Arabidopsis thaliana: one gene and its partners. The protein of the gene in region 2 interacts with the protein of the main gene of each other region in a pairwise test. Each region holds a gene or a part of one and is shown on either strand. Other genes may lie near its edges. The genes, in order: ADT4, RLF and ADT5.

Region 1 (4,254 bases), on a different chromosome or scaffold from region 2:
TTCACTGGTCCCAAATCTTTTTTTGTTATAGAACCATATTTATTTCTTTTGTTTTAAGACAGTAGATTATTAATAATCGGCGCTGTTTATAGCTTCCGATTTACATGTGAATTATTACTAGATTCAACATGTAAGTTTCTTGGAAATTATATTGCTAATTTCTTGCGACTCACCTAGAAACCAAACGTTGAACCCTTGAGTTGAGTTCACACGTGACCGGTGACCATAACTTTTTTTTTTTGTATCTACTCGTGAAAACTTCAAGGAAATCTTCACAAAATATTTTAATGATGTTGGAAATTATATCACCAACTACAATAATGGAGACTTGTTTTGTGAATATTATATAAACTTCGAACAAAATCTTTGTATTGTATATTAAATATGATAAGTTGATTTTTATTCACATTCATTTTCATTGGTTTACTTTTTTTTATCATGTAAGCGATTGTTTAATGGTATACATATGTTGTGGTTGAGCTTAGTGAACTTGAGATGAAGTCCTAACAGAAAGTTTTAGTAACAACATTATGCTGATAATTACATAAAAGAATTTGGTCTTAAGCTTTTGATATTGAAGAAAATATTAGGATCATCTCTACTAAAAATATGATTTAATAGAAATTTGTAGTAAAAATACTAATAACGTTGTTAAGATAAACAAAGTTACAAAACTGATCACATTTTTCTAAAAAATATGTGTAAATATATGTCTTTGTTTTTGGTAATGCCAATCATTTTTGCTTTTCTTGGTTAAAATCGAGTGAATTTACCAAAGAAAACCAAGGAACTCAAAAAGATTCTGCGAATAAACCACAATGTTCATAACTATTAAGTAAGAATGTAAGATATATCTGGTAGCTAGTAACAGACAAATAAAATTTTGTTTTCTCCTAATCACCACGTGAATAATGAGCTCTACATTTACGGTTTAATTTCAATGTATACTACAATTTTCACAAAAAAAGAAAGAACAGAATAATTTAATAAATTTATTGGTGAGTTTGTTTTTGGCGATGGGGTCATGCTTCTTCTGTGGATGTCATGGACCATGGTGTCATATCCATGGGGTAACTTCCCAGCACCCTTAGGAACGACGTGTACTCTTGAACCTCCGCAAGCGCGTTCTGTGCACGCGGCTCAGCCATCGATGCCTCAAAATCCACGTAAAACATGTACTCGAAGTTCTTCGACGTCCCAAAGCTCCCGTCACCAACAACCCTAAGCGGGCGGTTATGGTGAGGCCGGGACTCGATCTTGGTCAGGCTAATGTCTCTGAAAGCGAAAGCCGAGAGGACTTTAAAGAGGACGCTAGTTCCTTTGTGCTCTTGGGCAGCAAAGACGATGCTAGTCTTGAATGGCCGGTCCGTGCGTGGGATTATAGGCTCACGCGCCAACATTAGGAAACGAGTGACGTTCCCCGGGTCGTCTTGAATCCCATCCGCTAATATCTGGAGGTTGTAAAGCTCAGCGGCGCGTGCGCTCGCCACAGCCGCCGTGTCATGTAGGTCGTTAGCTGAGATATACTCCGCAGCAGCCGCTGTGTCATGGAAAGCCTCACGCGCTGCATGTGGTGTAAGGACGTCGAGGGAGTGTTCCGTCTGCGCTAGGGCTTGCGGGTGAGAGATCACCCGCGAAACACAGTCAGTTCGGACTCCCGGGAGTGCGAGGAGGCAATGGTGGACCGGAATCTGAACTTCTCCAACGATGTGAAGACGGTGACGGAGAAGAAGATCATAGTTTCGATGGATCGAACCACCGAGTGAGTTCTCCACCGGAAGCACAGCTCGATCAGCGATCCAAAGCTCCACCGCCTGAAAAGCAACGTCAAACTGGTCACAAGGAATGGCGTCGCAATTGGGATAAGCTTTTCCGGCAGCTGCTTCCGAGTAAGCTCCGGGAACGCCTTGGTAAGCTACACGTAGACTAGAACCATGCAACGGTGCCGGAGATAGATCAGTAATAGTCAACGGCTGAGCAGGAGCTAACTTTCCGTTAGTTGACTCAACGGCGACGAGACCAAGATTCACAGAGCCGTTCGTGTGACCATTAACGGCGGCGATTTTGTCCGCTAAACCACCGGTATTTTCAACAGAAGCAACTTTACTAGATAAAATGGCACATGAGCTTTGCCAATCAGATCGACTCACGGAGACACCGTTAGGGAAGCTAAACGACTCCGACCTATAACCGCACGTAACAGCCACGCGCTTTGGAATCGCGTGGGAGAAACATTTGTTCCTAGACGTCGGATCTGTTGATCGGAACTTGAGATCACACGACGTTGCGGCTTGCATGGTTTGGTAATGATGGTAAGACAAACAAAATTTGAGAATAAAAGCTGTATTATAGATTTATAGTGTTGGAAAGCTTGAGTTCTTTCGTTGAGAGAGAAGCTCAAGCTGAGAGATAAAGGAGAAGAGAGATGGTCTTATATACACACTAACACACAAGAATAAATTTTGTTTTGTTTTTGACAAAATTAGTCTTGACGTATGTAATTCGGTAAAATCCTTCACCTACCACCTTCCATGTAATTTCTATACTTTTTTTTCTTTCTGAAAACTATAATAATAGTTGTCTTTATTGAAATATATGATATTGTTGGTTTACGTGAAAGCGATATTCTTCATTTCTTCTTAGTTCTTACCATGGTTTTGTATTGTTGGTGTTACGTCCATAGATTTTTCTACAAATATCAAGATCATTGGTGTTTCTTTTGAGCAGTGGATGGTAAAATTTCTCTTAAAAAGTATTGAATATTCTATTATTATATATACATATGTATATATATATATATAGTTTTTTAATTGTTTGTTTTTCAATTAAAACTTAGTTACCTACTTCAAGAAAAATTAGATAGTTTATCCGCACTATGTGTGGGATAAATATATTATAGTAAATTTTTTATTATTTGAAATCTGAAATTTGCCTGTGTATTATTTAATGTAATATTTTTTTTTTGAACCATCTAGTTTTTGCATTAAAATTATTATTGCCCGTATATTGATTGTTATTAAATATGTATAAATATATTAGTTATTATTTTTATAATTTTCTTATTAAATTAAATTAAAATTATATTTTTAGAATCTTCTGAATATTTATAATTTACTTAAGTGTAATTGATATTATTTTTGGAAAAAACTTTATTTATAAATGTATTGGTAATATCTGATTAGAAAAATGAAAGTAGTACTATATTAATATTTTTGTTAACATATGATTTATGTTTCTATATAAAAACGAAAGTAGTTCTATATTAAGTTCTGAAATATTACTTGCTTAATTATTAGATTATTTTAATTGGAATTTCTTTTTTTAATTATTTACTACTTTTAATTGGATTTACTTTTTATTGTTTCTGTTATTGAGATATTTATATGTACTACTAATGATAAATTTTATAAATGATCTAGTAAATGAGGGACAATGAAGTAAATTGATTGAGAATTGCTCTGACACATCAGCTGGCATTTCTGTAAATACGACTGTAACTAAATTTTGTTTTTTAAGTGTGATTCTCTATTAATAATTTAATATATAGAGGATAAATGAATTCAGAAATTAATAAAAATTTTGATTACGAAAATATATAGTAGGCCCAAAGTTCACTTTCTCATATGTGGAATTTTATATGTCCACGAATAACACGGTTCAGCTCACCTTCTTTTACTTTGACACAATCGCCAAGCTGTGAGAGCATGCGCAGACCATAATGGACACATATATAGTAAATGGTTTTGTATTTATTATGATTTATGAAGTTGTTGGTCATTTTCATTTTTGACGATGTCTATTATTTGTTCGCTTTGGTGAAAATATTTGGTAATTAATTAACAAAGTGAATACTGTTTTACGAAACTCGGAAGGTGATCTATGATCTGTCATTTCGGGAGCATATATTTATATACATGATTTGTATTTGACTGATAACATATTTCAGGATCTTGGATATTGAATCCGTTTCTACTACAAAAAACCGCAAAATTGTGTGTTTTATGCCAAAATCCCTAAATTTGTGATTTTTTTACTTAAACTGTTTTCCAGTAAAAGTCGCAAACTATGTCATCCCGTAAAAAGTAACAAAATCTTGTTTCCGTAAAAAAAAAGTGTAACATTGAATTTTCCGACAGAATCATTATCTTATATTCTTTTCTGAATAATTGCTGAAAATGACCTTTTCACATTATCCTTTTTTAATTATACTCTTTCCTATTTGTCATTTTCATTTCTACCCTCTTTAAATTTTTT
Region 2 (4,020 bases):
AAAAACAAGATTTATCATGTAATTATAATACTCTCAGCATAATCTACATAACAATGATTTCATAGACCAAACAAAGTCTAAAGATAGAAACAGTCATGCATTATTATTAGTAAGTCATGAACTCAGATTAAGCAAAATTAATGATAAAAATCCAGAAGAAAATTTAGATGTATAAGGTGAGTAAGAGAATGAAGGATGAAGAAGAGAATTCAAATACCTGGTGGATCTGAAACTCGGGCTCACAGATAGAATTCCAAGGAGAAGACAAGAAGAAGATTTCAGAAACAGGTGTCGAAGATAGAAGACAAAAAGATTATTGGCAAATTGGCAAATATGATAGTGGAATTATTATAAGCGTCGAGGAGTCAGGTTTTGTCTACAATGTGAAATACCTAAACTACCCTCGGTCTTTTAGCCCTCACTTCTGATTGGGGATTTGATAGTTTGCTAAAACAAAACTTGTAATGGAATTTGTTTTTAAGACATCAACTTTGTTCTGGTTTACCCTATAATCCATTCCGAAATTTGTGTAGATTCTATTTACTCATCTATAATTTGCCATTCTGAAATATTGTAAAAGAAAAGAGAACATGATGCCACTGATATGGAAACTTTGAATATATTGACACCAAAAATTATAAATTTCTAATACAGTACATATTGTAATCAGAGTTTACATTTGAAGAATCAGAATGTAAACATTAAAAAATTCTTATTGACTTATGTATGAATTCTCTACAAGAGTGAACTCTTTTAGCAATAGCAATTAGGGTTCTTGCTTCTTCACTTTGGTATCATCCAAAACTCCAACAAGGCATTTCTCAAGTAAGATATCAACATTGACCCAGGCATGGTATTTGTTGAATAAGAGCGTACCGTCTCTTCCAACCGCTTTCATCAGCATATCGACACCTCCAGGATGAAAATTCATATAAGGCGATATGTTGTATACACGACCTTTCAAAACAGTCCACATCGAATCTCCTGTTCGGTGTTTCTTTACTTCATCCATTGGAATAAGCCTCTTGTTTGACTCTCCCTTCAGGCCTGCATAAACAAATTGTCTCTTTCATTAACCAACACATCAAAATGTATTTAGGAAAAAGAGGACTAAGAAAAGAAAGCTTTGCTTACCTGCAAGATCGGGATGTGTTCGTGTAAGTTTCAACCAATCCATTTGGCTATAACCCTTTTCAAATGGAACCTTGGTACGAGTGATAGGCTTTCTAGCTGGAGTTTTGAAAGTCTCAGAGGATTCATTGGATTGCTTTTTCGAAGACGAAGAATCAGTCACCGTGAAAGACAAAGAACCTATTGTTTCTTCCTTTGGAGGAAGAGACTTGTCTTTCCAAATAAGACCATTGCTTTTTTGTTGATCTAACCCATCTTTAAGGGTAATACTACCTACATCTGATGCAAGATCTTTAACTTCACTATCTGGTGGTGAAACCTTCAAAATTGAAAACAAACCAAGAATCAATCATAAAAGTCTAGAACTTTCACGTTTCATAAACATTGAAATCATGAAGAAATGAGTGGAAACTAACCAACCTTTGAGAATGTGAAATCATCATCTCTACTAGTATCCATCTTGAGCTTAATCTGCACGCAGTTTGCATAACAATTCGTATCAGTTAGAAACAAAACCTAAAGTCTATGTAAAGCACTCACGGGAAGAAGAAGACGAAGATCTAAACAAACGAAAGTTGGAGGCAAAAGCAAAGTCTAAAGGTGACGATAATAGGGATTATTGGGTGGGAATTTCTTAAATTCGGAAACTTTAATCTAACAAAAACAGATTTGCAATTCTGATTCATGAATCCATATCAAGCAAACAATAACAAGGGAAATCAGATGTACTAGAAGAAAATTGGATAGATACCTGGTGGATCTGAGACTGCTCCAGACAGAGAATCAAAGGAGAAACAAAGACCAGTGGAGAAAACAAAGAGCGACGAAAGAGGGAGAGATCTAATTGGCCGTCAAGGATTCTTATGAGAATAATCATGTTCTTCTCTGGAGGCTGCAATCAAAATACCAAATTCGAATCGGTCTAATTCGGTTTTGTTTTGGGGTTGTTGGATATCCGATACAATTTTGGTTCGGTTCAGGTCAGAGATATTCAATCCGAACTTGTAATTTGGTCCCGGTTTTGTGTAAAGGTCTTCGTATTTTTTGGTTTTGTTCGGTTATCTATCTCGGCTCCTTAATTTGGGTTGGTATCAAGAAGTTACAATTTACTGTTAACCAGAAAAAAAAATGTAGTCACACAGTACAAATTATGCAATCCCATCACTTAGTAACGAAAATGCTGGCGAGAAGAGACCCCAAAAAACAAGATCTGCTCTCACATTCTCTGCTATAAAATATGTACCAAATTGTCCTCTCTTGTCATTAAGATCCGATGAGTCCTCTAAACCGAGCGTACGACAGTATAATCACGAACAAGACTATGCAAAATGTTCCCGTGAGACTTACGACCTTCATCAACAACAACAAAAAACACATACCAATGATATCATCAGGTTAAGGTGTTCCATTCTGGTGGAAACTGAAATGTGACTCGTACCCATTTGAAAATGTAACCATGGTCGTGGTTCCATGTGTTGGGAATGTTCATGCCGAATATTCCGGCGATCATAGAGTACACTGATACACAGACGGTTCCTGCGCTTAACATTAGCTCTAACTGCAGAGAATTTTATTGCTTTTCATACACATCAAAAAAAATTTAAAAAAACTTTAATAATCCTGAGCTTTTCTTTTATATTCACTCACCTGAATCAGCTGATTTCGATGATTGTCTAACTGCAAATAAACAGTGATTATAGCCTGTAAGAGAAATTACATTTTCACAACATTTAAGAAATTCTGACTTTTCATTTTTGGTTACCTGGATGTTAATGTAATCCTCTGTGTCATCAATATACTCGCGTAGCTGCATCATGTTCAATTATACTTTCTAAGTCGGAGATACCACAAAGACGAAACAGGAACAAGAAGATACAATACCTCGGTTAATTTGTTCAAAGTGCTGTCTATTTGCATGAAGTATGCCTATTAACAAAAATCACATTAATGGTTGTTTATACTTCATATGTAGCTGGAAACAAGTATTACCTCAAGCAACATTTCAAGCTCTTCAACATCAGTTTCGTCGTCTCCACGAACCGTGACTAAACTCACTCTACTTGCTCTGGAAATCATAGAACCTATTGTTGGGGAAGTAGGATACCAAATGGGTTCATCTGAAACGCTGACAGATGAAGATGCACCAACAAGCTTCCTTGTAAGGTAGAGATCAGCCATATCACCATCATCATCCAACAACTGTTCAAGCTCATCCCTTACCTGAAAAAAAAGCGACGAGAGAGATTAATTCTTCTCTGTTCCACTATCGTATATCTTGAATGTTCACTTGACATATGTGAGGAAGCTTCATACTCATAGTATATGTGGCAACACAAGTTCTAAACATAGACTCTGTTTACCAGTGAAACATACTCACCTTTTGGACCCGAGCTGTCAAACGGGTCATGGCACTCTTCAATTTACGAACTCTTTCCAAGTTACGGCTACTTATCTACAAAATGAAACGGTTCTCATCGACTGAATGGAGTTAAATGAAGTTGGAATTAGATCAGTGATGACAATAATTGCTGAGTTAGCTACCTTCAAGGTAAGTTCATCCAAAGCAGGATAAGCAAACTTCTCTAGTTCTGTTGTCCTTGCAGCTAGAAAACTACAAATAGCTTCCAAGGCCACCTCTAGCGCCCGGAATTCAAACGGGGATTCTATATAGTAACAAACAAACACTTCAATACCAAAAGTGAAAAGAGTGAATGGTTCATTAGTTCTTATGTAGGCATCAAAAGATCAAAGATTTTTCCAATTTATATCCTTAAAATAACAAAAGTTGAGGCCTTGAGGGGTACCATCTTCTTCACCCAAATCACCATCTCCGTGAACACCATGTGCCTCGTTTCCTACAGGTAATCTTCTCTGAAACTCCTCCAGGAC
Region 3 (4,602 bases), 4.5 Mb from region 2:
TTGTAACATTGTCTACAACTTTAAAAGTACAGCTTAAGAAACATGTACAAAGAAACTCATATGCCAATTTTTTGTTTTGCTAAAAATTTAAATATCTCATAAAAATGAAAATGTTCAGGCTTACAATCGAAGATTATAATTCTAGAAGATGGATGTTAAGAGCATATGGTAGCTTCCACCACACCTAACTCTTTTGGCATGCAAAAATGTTTAGACCCTAAAAGATAGGTGGGAAATTACACATATCTAGTATAAATAGTCAAGTCATGTTAAATTATCTATCAAATGCAAAGTTTCGTGGAAATTATATGCCCAATTCTTTAGCAACTCGAACTGAATTTCCTGAAGATAGTTGAGAACTTTAATAAACTAATCAGTGAAAATTCATGGAAGTTGGCATAGTACGTATATACACGACCAGATGGATGATTATACTTTTGTTTCAAAGCAAGAAACATCAAACCGAACTCGTGTTCACACATTAATTTCGACTTTTGTAATATAACTTGTAATTTAATAACTTTATAGTTTAGAATCTGAAAGTCTTTCTTGTTCTGTTGGTTAACGTACGTGGGGAGTCTTAGAGCATAGCTTCAAAGATTATTGTTAATGATTCTGCTATAACAAATTCCGTTACAAATTAAGGTATATATTAGGTTCTCTAATTTTTACTACGAAAAAAATATGAGAATTAAAATGTGCTTAGCTTAAGAAATATCTTCAATTGTAATCATCAGAACCAAACTACAAACCGGTCTTGTTCCAATAGTAGCAAATACATACACACAAAATATTTGGTTTAAGAGAAATAAAATAATATTATCCTCCCACTTCACATGCAAAACGAGTTCTACAAATTCTACTTTAGTTTCCATGTATTTTACTTATGATAATTTTACCATAATGTTATTTAAAATTCAGATAAATTTTTTAATTGTGTCATACGTCTTCGCTAGGTAACGTGGACCATGGCGTCATATCCATTGGGTAACTTCCCAGCACCCTGAGGAATGACGTGTACTCTTGCACCTCCGCTAACGCGTTTTGTGCACGCGCCTCCGCCATCGACGCTTCGAAGTCGACGTAGAATGTGTACTCAAAGTGCTTCGATGTTCCAACGTTTTCGTCGCCTACGACTCTAACGGGACAATTCTGATGCGGCCGCGATTCGATTTTCGTCAAACTAATGTTTCGAAACGCAAACGCGGAAAGCACTTTGAATAAAACGCTAGTTCCTTTATGTTCTTGAGCTGCGAAAACGATACTCGTTTTAAACGGACGATCGGTACGGGGAATGATCGGATCACGCGCCAACATAAGGAAGCGCGTGACGTTTCCTGCGTCGTCTTGGATCCCGTCGGCGAGAATCTGAAGTCCGTAGAGCTCAGCTGCTCTTGCGCTCGCTACCGCCGCCGTGTCGTGGAGGTTGTTAGCAGCGATGTATTCCGCCGCCGCGGCTGTGTCGTGAAACGCTTCAATCGCTGCTTTTGGAGTGAGTTTGTTGAGCGATCCTTCCGTCTGAGCCAGAGCTTGAGGATGCGAAATCACTCGCGTGATGCAATCCGTACGAACTCCGGGAAGAGCTAAGAGACAGTGGTGAACCGGGATCTGAACTTCTCCGACGATGTGGAGACGGTGACGGAGGAGAAGATCGTAATTTCTATGAATCGAACCACCGAGAGAGTTCTCAACTGGGAGAACAGCACGATCGGCGATCCAAAGCTCCACCGCCTGAAACGCAACGTCGAATTGATCACAAGGAATAGCTTCGGAGTTTGGGTAAGCTTTTCCGGCGGCCGCTTCGGAGTACGCTCCCGGAACTCCTTGATACGCGACACGAAGAGTAGATCCATGAGACGGCGCGGGAGATAGATCTGTTATCGTTAACGGCTGAATCAATCCAGGCTTTCCGTTGTGCTGCGACTTTGACGGAACAAGGCTTAAATCAACGGAGCCGTTACTGTGTCCGTTAACGACGGCGACGGAGCTTGAATTCTCAGCCGAAACTACTTTACTGGCTAAGATGGCGCATGAGCTTTGCCAATCGGCTCGGCTTGAGCCAACACCGTTAGGGAAGCTAAACGACTCAGACCTGTAACTGCAACGAACAGACACGCGCTTTCCATTTACGTGAGAGTAACGCGCTTTCTTAGCCGTTAGATTCGGTTGAATTACGGATTTGAGATCGCACGAGAACGCAGGCGAAATGGTTTGCATGATTTGAGTCGAAAAATGAAAAAATTGCTGTTTATTTATTTTTTCTGGTAAGAGGAAACAAAAGAGTAAGATATAAACGACGAGTAGAGTACAGTTCAAGCTTGGAGTTCTATGGTTCAGAGAGAACTTGCAAGCTGAGAGATGATGGTGGAGAAGGAAGTGTTTATATAGTGGAATGTTGTAAAAGAAAGAAAGTCTTGACGTGTCTTGAAGGGTAGTTCCGTCAAATCCTTCACCTACCACATTTCATTTGATTTTCCTGAACGATATTTGTTGTTTATATTATAAAGTTGTTTTTATTTGAATATGTTCACTTTGCTTTGTTAGGAAAAAAATGGTGAATTTCTCGGTACGTGTTAATCAGTGGAGGCCTTTTAAAGATTTATTGCTGCTAATTGTGAGTAAAGATCTTTTTTCATAATAAGATAATGTCATTAGCAGATTTATGGATAAATGGACCATACGTGGCAGCTTTGCATATGTGGTCTCATAATCGAATGCTAACGTTCTTTCGAGATTTTGCTATGTTTTCAAGTTTCTATTTTGATTTTCTAAATTTTATCCTTAAAACTAGATTACTAAACAAGGTAACTAAAAGAACCATATTAAAAAAAGAGACCATGTGTATGAATATGTGGATTAGTAATTTAGTATCAAGTAACTATGTGGTGGTTATTTATTGGTTAAGGTTTTTCTTTTGAATGAAGACAAAGATCGATTTTTATCATATAGTCAAATTGTTGATCCCCATTATTATTGTTTCTCTATCTACACATTGTAAATAATTACCGAATAAAATTCATGCATGGGATATGAGTCTAGTACTGGATAATGATTGTAAAAAATTCCTAGAATGAAAATAGTAAGAAGAAACATTTAGCATAAGTTGTCATTTTGATATAATAACCCAAAAAAACTATAATAACCTTTTCAAATGATAAAATAATATAATTTTAAAAGTTAGAAGACGAACTATATGTGCAAAGGTATCCATGGAACATGGTCCAATCCATATCGCTCCCTAAATTTGGATATTTACATTCGTATATTATTTTTTTTCATTTTAAAATTTAGATGTATTCTCTTGTATAAAATACTTAATATAAATTGATAAATATATCACATATTATTTATGGTAGTCAAACTAGTTAATTATTTATTTTAAACCCAACAATAATTAAACCATATATATATATACCATATTATTTTCACTCCGAACAATAATCTAAACCATAAGCCTATACAATGAGACCTGGTTCACCTGATTTGATCTTTCAAACCAACCTTTCTTTAGTTTTAAGTTTATGTGGATGCAGACTTTCAATTTTCAATTTTGGGTGTTTTAAAAATAAATCTTTATATACATAATTAAGATTATGAGAGTGATCGATCTATATCCTTAATATCTTTAAAATATATGCTCTTATATACCTTTTTTGTTTATCTTCATACATTAATCAATAATTAATTAGTCGCCTAACAATAAATAAATAATTGTATGGCTCAAAAAAATTTAAAACATAAAGTGGGTTTTTCCTTAAGAAGCTAGATTATACTAGCCTCAGAAATCAGAATAAACCTGATTTGCACCATTGAAGGAAACCTAGTACAGCAACCCACTCGAACAAACCTGATCGATCTGCACCATTGAAGGAAACCTAGTACAGTGGCCCAACTCGAACAACCACATACACACAAAGAACTAGAGAGACATATATGTAGGTAATACATCTAATTTAGTGTTTTATCATATGACAACACATAAGACATACAAAAATCTAGTGAGACATATTTGTGGATGTAGATTATCCTAAGATATATATAATCTATATCTCTAACTCTAATAGAATGTATATTGATTGCATACCCTACTTTTTAACCCATTGATTAAGCCATTTATCAATGAGAAAAAGAGATTCTCATGTGATGCAGTGATGCTAACAAAAAGTTTACATACTAATTTATACTAAAAAATTATGACGCTAATATAAGTTTATGTACTAAATTATACCGAAATATTATGTATAATAAATTATTAGAATGCAGGAAATAAAAGAATCACTGACAACTTAACAAGTAACAACAGCTCCAATATGCCACGATTATGTAATTCGTGTGTCATATATATGTTTCTTCTCGTTAAAGTTAAAGATATATAGGTGTGACCTCAGGTCTCAAAAGTGAAGCCCAGCTTCTAATATAAATATTTCTAGTTTATTTTCTTCGTTTTGAAAAAAGAAAACACATATTCATAATATATTGAAAATAATATCGTTTTATAACATAAGTAAACAATCAACAAGCAATTGTTGGCCGTAAAAGATTTATCGATGGGGTTGTTGAAACCTTTTTTAATTCATAAACTTGTAAAGGTTTAATATGGCA

Evidence for each region.
Region 1: the proteins of RLF (region 2) and ADT4 interact in a two-hybrid assay, tested with the Arabidopsis thaliana proteins (one large-scale study listed by BioGRID).
Region 3: the proteins of RLF (region 2) and ADT5 interact in a two-hybrid assay, tested with the Arabidopsis thaliana proteins (one large-scale study listed by BioGRID).

Annotation. Positions count from the first base shown.
Region 1 is NC_003074.8:16,269,802-16,274,055, reverse strand, and holds ADT4 (arogenate dehydratase 4), read right to left. Parts: upstream 2,546-4,254; 5' UTR 2,298-2,545; coding exon 1,023-2,297; 3' UTR 643-1,022; downstream 1-642. UniProt on the Arabidopsis thaliana protein: Converts the prephenate produced from the shikimate-chorismate pathway into phenylalanine.
Region 2 is NC_003076.8:2,998,596-3,002,615, forward strand, and holds RLF (reduced lateral root formation), read right to left. Parts: upstream 2,064-4,020; 5' UTR 2,009-2,063; coding exon 1,883-2,008; exon of another isoform or gene 1,603-1,882; coding exon 1,552-1,602; intron 1,451-1,551; coding exon 1,135-1,450; intron 1,048-1,134; coding exon 767-1,047; 3' UTR 600-766; downstream 1-599. Other genes in the region: MGT7 (magnesium transporter 7), read right to left, coding at 2,395-2,481, 2,570-2,689, 2,779-2,808, 2,894-2,938, 3,013-3,057, 3,121-3,351, 3,509-3,583, 3,673-3,794 and 1 more.
Region 3 is NC_003076.8:7,522,260-7,526,861, reverse strand, and holds ADT5 (arogenate dehydratase 5), read right to left. Parts: upstream 2,777-4,602; 5' UTR 2,218-2,776; coding exon 940-2,217; 3' UTR 592-939; downstream 1-591. UniProt on the Arabidopsis thaliana protein: Converts the prephenate produced from the shikimate-chorismate pathway into phenylalanine.